Linked DNA regions of Schizosaccharomyces pombe. The protein of the gene in region 1 interacts with the protein of each later gene in a biochemical or structural test. Each region holds a gene or a part of one and is shown on either strand. Other genes may lie near its edges. The genes, in order: cdc17 and pcn1.

Region 1 (5,251 bases):
AAAACCGATTCATAATTTTCACAGAAACGTTACGATAAAAGTCATCATACACCAGTCGGGCATTCCTGCTGCCAGTGTATTGTACGAATCCACCTGTATACCTTCCAAGGAGGGCCCATGTTTTTGATTGTGCAGCAGCAGAGTCTTTTTCATTCGAAAATTCTCGATAGGGACAACTGTTTAAATAACCTTCTTCCACTTGTGTCGCTAGATTTTCCTCACAAGGGTACAGTTTATCCCCACGACTAAAAAACCACGTTCCCCTGAGTATCCGGTAAACGGGACCATCCCAGTATATTGGTGAGAGTTCTCTTGAAACAACGTTCACCGAATACAAATAATCCTCATTCACATTGACCGGTTCAGATTGACCGTCATTTTCTACAGCCTTTAAATAACTTTTTTCGATGTGCTCCGAGTCTTCAGCTGAAAAAGGTAAAAAATTTTTTGCTTTTTTAATTTCCGTCGGTCCCGTTCTTGATTTCCTAAGCGGTCTATCTACCGCATAGAACCAACGTACCCGCAATGAAGGAGCATCTGTCACAGATCTCGATAGCAAATGACGAAATGACAATTTGGGCGGTTGCACATGTTTCAATGGCCATTCTTCTGAATTATTCATAGCAATTAATGGCTTTAAAGCCAATATTGTAATTTCTTCTTGGTGTTTGCTACAGTGACATAAAATGTATATGGACGGTAATGAACACCAAGCATTCGTAATCCACTGTAAGGAGGAATATGACGGCAAAATAGAGTAAGGCTTGGTACGAACGTAAAATGGTAATACAATGTATAAAATCATATAAAAAGGATAATAAAAAGGGATAAATAAGATTCAAATTTTCAATCTAATGTTATAATTTGGAAATTCAATGTTGTTTATTATTAATTTTTTTTTAGCCACAGGGGATTACAATTAGAAAAAAATAAATAGTAGTAAGCTAGAGAAATAGCCATCAGCTAGAGCATAAACTCAATTTGTCTGTCTCTTTAACATAATTCATATTAGCCTCTTTGGGCAAATTTTAGCCGAACATTACCCTTTATTATGACAGTAGCTCTCAGCAGTAACTCTCAGCTACAAACTTAATAATCTTCGGCAGCTGGGGACCCTTCTTTTTCCTTTTGACTGTAAGCCACCTGCGAACGATAGAATTCTGAAACCTGTTCACTTGTTGTAGCATCCTCCCAGCTCTTGTCTTCCCGAATACGAATGAATCTTGGAAAACGTAAACTGATTCCTTTGTCCTCTTGAACATATCCAATTGCAGCTTTGTAAACCGGAGACAAAGATAAATCGGCAGCTAAGACTTCCCACAAGTACTTAGGCTCAAACCAGACGTCAGGCTGATGCGCAGGTACATCGCTATGAGCATAAAAATCTTTCTTTTTAGATATAACAATGTCTTTAAGTTGATTGTAAAAAGTTTCTAAATGCTCCTCTGAAAAACCAGTCCCGAGTTTGCAAATCGATTGAACTGTTTCGGTATCTGGATCGTAGCAGCCCAAAAGAAAGGCACCATAAACAGAAGTACGTTTACCCTTTCCGTAGTATGCGCCAATTACAATCAAATCCAGAGAATCTCCAACACCAGAAAGATAGTCTTTTTTAACTTTTAGCCAATGCCTGGAACGTTTTGACGGTTCATAATGAGAATCCGGGCCTTCAAGCATTTTGACCATTAAACCCTCACAAGAATCTTTGACAGATTCTTCAAGGAATTCTTCAATGGATTCAATAGACTTTTGATCGCTATGTTTAGCAAAAGTAAAGTCTCCAGTACTTGGTTGAAACATTGAGTAAAGTAGTTTTCGACGCTCGTTGAGTGGGGTTTCCAAAAGAGGTTGCCCATTTAGGTATAAAATGTCAAAAGCGAAAAGGCATGCTCGGACCTTAATGTCCCCAATTTTCACATCTTTCCTCTTTCTTGTTGCAAGTTTTTGAAAAGGTAAAATTTTGTTTTCATCACGGTCCCAACCGACAGCTTCGCAATCGAGAATAAAAGAACGAGCATCTGGTTTTTTCCACTTCGATACAGAAACAGAGATGTCCGGATAGCGAACAGACATGTTTTCAGAATTCCTAGAAAATACATAAAACTTCCCATCTTCGGTAAAATGAACTTGGGCGCGCTCGCCATCGTATTTGTATTCACATGTAAATGCGGCTTGATCAAACGTATTCAAAACTTCTGAAATTTGTTTCGTCGGCTTAGCCAGCATGGGTTTTGTTGGGATTCCAGGTGTTAATTTACAAGTTTCACGCAAAGTACCAAGTCCATGCTCAATCAAGTGAGGAACGATAAGGTCGTATGAAGGCAGTTGACAGTAAACATCTCGAAGAATCTGCTCTCCTTCAATCCTGTCTTGTTGCGAAAGTTTTTCTCCATTCTTATCAGCATGATATTGAGCGGTGGCATTTGCTAATGCTACTAAAATGGTTTTTTCGGCAAGTTGGAGGCGTAGCTTGCCTTCCAAAGCTCGAATCAAATATTTAGGTTCTGCACCTTCACAGGAACTCAATAGCCGCTTGATCACTCCAATTTTTCTATTTTGGGATTGGTTTCCGCTCATTTGAGCAATTTTTTTTAATGAGTCAAATAAAAATGGAATTGTCAGCGCTGCAGGTTTAAACATAGTGGGTTGATTTTGACGGGATGTTTGAGCTACAAGACCAAGATCACCAACTTTGTGAAACGATAGTTTAATCTGTTGAAGCGTTTGCCCTGTAGACTCTCCAATAGCCTTCATTATAATGCTTTCGCCAATTCCTAGCTCTAGTCCCGAGTAATCTGGGCCCAACTAATGTAAAAAAAGACGTTAGTACTGAGAAGGAGAAATCCTTTAAAACCAAACGTTCATACCTTATTGATACTTAAATACACACAGGCCAGTAAATCGCTGGGATGGTCGCGAAGAATTCCAAAAAAGTAAGTCCCCATTATATCAATGATTTCCAACCGTTTGCTAGTATTCTCTATTTTTGTGAATGCTTTTACCATTTCAGCAAATGTTGCATGACCTTTTAACTTATCATTGCGAGCATTGGACTCTAACGGTGGTTCTTTGATTGGCAAAGGTATTGGAGTAGATGCCCCAGAATCGTTGTTACTAGATACGGCATCTGAAGAAGAGGAGGATGAACCTAAAGTCTTTTGCTTTTTTGCCTCAGACACAATATTATTTTCACGCTCAACATTTTGAGTTCCAGTGTCGTCGTGGTTGTTGTGTTTCGACTCGTCGACTAATTTCACTGATTCGACCTTTCTCTTTTCGCTTGTGCTTCTCCCATCAACATTTTTGGAATCAGAAGACGATTGAGAAACCTCCACGTGCTCGCTTTTGTGCGAAGCAGAAGAAATGAAGAAGTTGCTATATGGGTTAGTCAACGTCTGTCTTCTATCTAACAAACCTAATGTCTGACTGCCTTGTCGACATCCGTATGTACTGATTGACTTGTTTAAAACGAGGAATTTGCGAAAATACTGTTCGCATAACAATCAAGTCAACGAGTAAAGAATTTCATAAGATTTGACAATAGTGAGGGTACACCTGAAGAACAAGTAACACGTGTACGATATTTGTAGTTTAAGGACAGTGAAAACGAAACCATTTTTTTCTAAGTCTATATAGATGAAATTAATTTTTATGATTATAACAGGATAATATAAAAGCTATTTATCATTGATATAGTATGAGTGTTCCTTGTCTCATTCATAAATACTATTGACTTAATCAACTCTCTCCCAACGCTCTGTACATCATAAATACAGCTAGAAAAAATGAGAAGTTGAATTGTATAGAAATGCTTTAGTCATACCAGAAATGAACAATTGCCTGTATCAACGAACGTAATAGAAACAATTTGGAAATACATTGCTAGAAGTTTATCAACTAGATTCTAACCATTTAAAAAAAAAAGAAATTTAAATCAACAAAAATTAAAATAAATTCCTAATAGGCTTATTCGCTAATGTGTAGTGGTTTGTAGTTTTTTTGCAAAAAGCTGTTCGCACTTGTTTTTCAAGTGGATTTTGTCCTTAAATTTTTAAAATTTTTCTTTTTCAAATTTTTTATGAAATGTTAATTCGAAAGCAAAAACTATCATAAAATTGTTTATAACCATCGCTTTATTTACAAAACTCATAGTCAAATTTCGACAGCCCGGCATTACTAAAAAAACATGTTACCTGTTACAGGTAACATTCAATATAAACATTCAATTTTTGATTTTTGTTCTTTCTCAGAGAATATACCTCTGCTAGCACTTGGAGAAATTTTTTCGGTTCTGAAATCTTTGTTTTCGTTGAAATCTTATTAGAACCAAGTTCTCCATTTTATATAAATTAACACTTCTTGTCTCTAGGTGGATAAAGAAACGGATTGACGATTCTGTTCTGATCCTTAAATCCATATTTTTATTTTTTGGTTCTGTTTATTTTTTCTTGGGTTTGTTGTGTTTGGAAAAAAACTGGTGTTTAAATATATTAAGCATAAACTATTATAAAACTTCATTTTATTATTTTATCATTCATATTTTTTTCAATTTCGTTTTGAAAATTTTTTATTTAAGCCGAATTCTATTAAAAATACTAAAATGTATCAACGATCTTTGTTTCGCGGTGTCGCTCAGGGTTTAAAGCGCTCCTCTGTACGTTTTCAATCTACCAGCTCTGGCTCTTCAAATGGCAATTTCTTTCTCCGTCATTGGAAGCTTTTGAGTGTTATTGGTAGTTTTACTGCCGGCGTTGCCATTTACGACATGTCCGATGTTCGTAGTTTTATCCATGGCCGCATTGAAATGCCTCTCTTTCATGCTTTCACCACTCCTGAGTTTTCTCATCGTGTCGCCATTCTCGCTGCCTCTTGGGGTATAACACCGAAGGATCGTGTAGCTGATGATCCATCTCTTGCCGTTGAAGTTTGGGGTAAGAAATTTTGCAATCCCATTGGTCTAGCTGCTGGTTTCGATAAACAAGCCGATGCTATCTCAGGTTTGTTGAACTTCGGGTTTTCCTATCTTGAAATTGGCTCGGTCACACCTAAACCTCAACCTGGTAATCCTAAACCACGCTATTTCCGCCTTAAGCCTGATTTGTCTGTAATCAATCGTTACGGTTTTAATTCTATCGGCCATGATGCCATCCTTGCTAAGATTCAAAAGCGCGTTCGCAAATACATTGCTAAGACATCTCCTCAACTATTAAAACAGTTTGATGCAAATCCCGCTTCTTGCACTGATCCCGCT
Region 2 (3,691 bases), on another chromosome or scaffold:
GACTAGTAACACTTCGCTCAAACTTTTGACCATCACCACCAGCTTTGTCGACGATGGTGCGCAGTAAGGTAGTACCGTTACTGTCACTGTCGGACAAAAGAGCAGCAGCAATGTGAATAGGGGTTAATTGTGAATGACCATAAGATTGTGCAATTGAGTACGCATCAGACAATGTCTTTGCGGCTTTGTCAGTAAAAGGATAATCAGCCATATCGAGTTATATTATTATAGGAATTTTTATAATTTATAGATAAATCCAAAAAAAAGGAATTGTATATTTGTCGCTCGTTATAAAACAAAAAAGAGAGAGTCGTTGAACGGTAAATATATACGGTTTTCAGTTCGATTTAATAAGAACTTAATATCGTTATTATAATAAATTCTTCGGTTATAGATTGATGGTTGAGGATGCCGCAGGTAGAGAAGCTGTGCATATATATACACGATGATGTTACTATGGGAAGGAAAGGAACATACCAGAAGATGCCAGTTACATTGTTACTCGAACCTACTCCTACACTCTAGAAAAAGAAAGGGATAAAGTAGGGTAAATCCCAAAGACATGACTAGAAGATTTAAAAAAATAAGAGAAAAATAGCTTAAAAAAAAACCGGTGTAAATTAAAAATGCAGTTACCTTAAAAGTCTTTGAATTGTCTTTAAACATGGAATACTCGAAACCCGGAAATGATCTGCGTATTACGTAGTGTATGGAACAACGTAAAGACGGATACTAACCTCAACTTATTCTCAATTGCATCTTGCTAAATACCGTTAGAATTCATCAATGACTGAATAAATAATTTTTTGATACATAGTTCTTCTATTACAGAGATTCTAGTCATATTTCCAAGCTATTTCTAAGATAGAGCTCTTACATTACTTATTCTATACGGTAGCGATTATTCGTCGTAATGACATTTAACGAACTTTAGTTACTTGACCATAGTGGTTTATAAACTAAACAAACCAACAGTGAATTCTTGTTAACGTAACTGTAATCTACGAATATTGAGAAGAAAAAAAAACGAATGAATTTGTTGTGAATACATATTTTTTCCTTAGCGAACAAGTATACTTCATTCTTATTTTCATACCTCTTTAGTCTTATTTAAACCAGCAATAAAATTCGTTTTAAGTTTTCCGTGTTAATACCAATTAAAATAACGTTTTTTTCAATCATTTTATATGTCATTGCAACGTGAAAATAAGTTAATAAATTTCGGTAGCAGCTAATATGGAAAATGTACAATTTACTTGATACATTAGTGTAGCCTAAATTTTATTTGATCCTGGAAAGTATATTAAGGTAGAACGCGAAAGCTCTCCTAGTTTACGCCGTAAATTGTAATGACTCGCTGATTACATTTGGCTTATTATAATCCGTATAGCTAGAAAATTTCGATAACTGAATATTGCTTCTTTAAAAAGACATAAATAGAACCGTGAATTAGTACAGCAAACGAAAGATAAAAATTTCATAGTAACATGCAAATACTATTTTTTCAGTTAGTTTTCCATAATTTTGTATAATATTTCATATCAAACGCATCTAAAAAGTACGGACGAAATTACTTGCTATTGTAAAAATAAAAAAAATAACAAAACAAATTATAATAACGTGAACTGCTATTTTGGTCTCATATATGAAAGGTTCTTGAGATTTTTTACGTTGTCAGCTAGCAATTTTACGCACACTATTCTGTGCTACGCGCTCTTTGACTACTTCCCAAAAGCCAACTACAAAAGGTTTTTGCAGTAACCTTTGTTAGCTATTCTTTATATCTCTTATCTAGCTTGTATAAAATATAATTACGACTATGCTTGAAGCTAGATTTCAGCAGGCTGCTTTGTTGAAAAAGCTTCTCGATGCCATCAAGGAGTTAGTTACAGATGCTAATGTATGTAAGGGGCAGCATATAAATAAAGATGCTCAACGACAAAGCCTTTCTTTTTTTTAAAAAAAATATATTTATTAACTTCTTTTGAATGATTCTCTAACCTCATAACAGTTTGATTGCAATGACAACGGTATCTCTCTGCAGGCTATGGATAGTTCTCATGTAGCCCTTGTTTCTATGCTTATTAAATCAGATGGATTTGAACCATATCGGTGTGATAGAAATATTGCTTTAGGTATAAATCTGAACGCCTTATCAAAGGTCTTACGGTGTGCCCAAAACGAGGATTTGGTTACTTTAAAGGCTGAAGATACACCTGAGGTATTGAATTTGGTTTTCGAGAGCGAGAAAAATGACAGGATCTCTGATTATGATGTTAAATTAATGGACATTGATCAAGAACACTTGGGTATACCAGATATCGAATACGATGCTACTATTACTATGCCTGCTGCCGAATTTCAACGCATTACTCGAGATTTATTAACTTTGAGTGATTCAGTAACAATCAATGCTAGTAAAGAGGGTGTTCGTTTTAGCTGCAAGGGAGATATTGGTAATGGTAGTACCACGCTGAAACAACATACCGATCTTTCTGACCAAGATCAAAGTATCGAAATTTCTCTTACCCAAGCTGTAACACTTACGTTTTCTTTGAAATATTTAGCCCAGTTCACTAAGGCTACTCCTTTAGCTACCCGAGTCACACTTTCAATGAGCAATGATGTTCCACTTCTTGTGGAGTATAAAATGGAATCCGGATTTTTACGATTTTATCTTGCCCCAAAAATTGGTGAGGAGGATGAGGAGTAGATTACGGAATCAATATCTTTTAGTAATCTCTTTGCAATTGACGAGCTAGCATCATTATAAACATACTTTTGTTTACTTTTTAATTCAACCTTTTTTGTACTGCTCCTTCCCTAACATTCATATCCAAACAGGCAAAATACCAGCTTTTACTTAAAAAAAATCAAATTCTTTAGAACCAACAAACTGAAGGGTAGAAAAACTTGTGTTCTTAGTGATGATTTTTCACAGATAACTTCGTAATCATCTGCTGTAGCTTGTTGATTTAAGTCTAGTACATGATATAATACATTGATATGTAAATTAGCTTAATTCTGAGAATTTATTCTAACTGATAATTGTATACTTATATGGCTAACCGCGTAAGAGCCTCGGAGGGACAGTTCGCCCAAATACTACCAACGCTACCACCAGTAGCAGCAAGGCGTAAAAGTTACTTAAAGAAGATAGAATTCCTTACTCTCTATACTGCCAACTTTTCGTAATAATTTATATATTTTACTATTTGGCTATATTTGAAATTTTTAGCGTTGAATATACTATGGCAGGAGATAGTGTGAAAAGTGCAATCATTGGGATTGCTGGGGGTCCTTTTTCTGGAAAGGTATTTTATTAAAATATTTTTTTCTTAATTCTAATACTTTAATACTAGACACAACTCTGTGAGCAATTACTTGAACGTTTAAAGTCATCAGCACCTTCAACTTTTTCTAAATTGATCCATCTTACTTCATTTCTTTATCCCAATTCTGTCGACAGGTATGCACTTTCCTCTTACGATATTGAAGCGTTTAAAAAAGTTCTTTCTTTGATTTCTCAAGGAGCCGAGAAAATATGTTTGCCAGATGGTTCTTGTATAAAGCTACCTGTAGACCAGAATAGAATTATTCTAATCGAAGGTTACTATCTTCTTCTTCCCGAATTGCTGCCCTACTATACGTCTAAAATTTTTGTATATGAAGATGCAGATACTCGTTTGGA

The links.
Region 2: the proteins of cdc17 (region 1) and pcn1 form a complex in vitro, tested with the Schizosaccharomyces pombe proteins (one study listed by BioGRID).

Annotation. Positions count from the first base shown.
Region 1 is NC_003424.3:1,386,191-1,391,441, reverse strand, and holds cdc17 (ATP-dependent DNA replication ligase Cdc17), read right to left. Parts: upstream 3,558-5,251; 5' UTR 3,499-3,557; coding exon 3,416-3,498; exon of another isoform or gene 3,376-3,415; coding exon 2,868-3,375; exon of another isoform or gene 2,806-2,867; coding exon 1,090-2,805; 3' UTR 825-1,089; downstream 1-824. Other genes in the region: SPOM_SPAC20G8.02 (DDHD family phospholipase), read right to left, coding at 1-805; mitochondrial dihydroorotate dehydrogenase Ura3, read left to right, coding at 4,601-5,251. UniProt on the Schizosaccharomyces pombe protein: DNA ligase that seals nicks in double-stranded DNA during DNA replication, DNA recombination and DNA repair.
Region 2 is NC_003423.3:3,614,866-3,618,556, forward strand, and holds pcn1 (DNA polymerase delta processivity factor), read left to right. Parts: upstream 1-1,729; 5' UTR 1,730-1,819; coding exon 1,820-1,900; intron 1,901-2,009; exon of another isoform or gene 2,010-2,011; coding exon 2,012-2,713; 3' UTR 2,714-2,980; downstream 2,981-3,691. Other genes in the region: heat shock protein Hsp104, read right to left, coding at 1-211.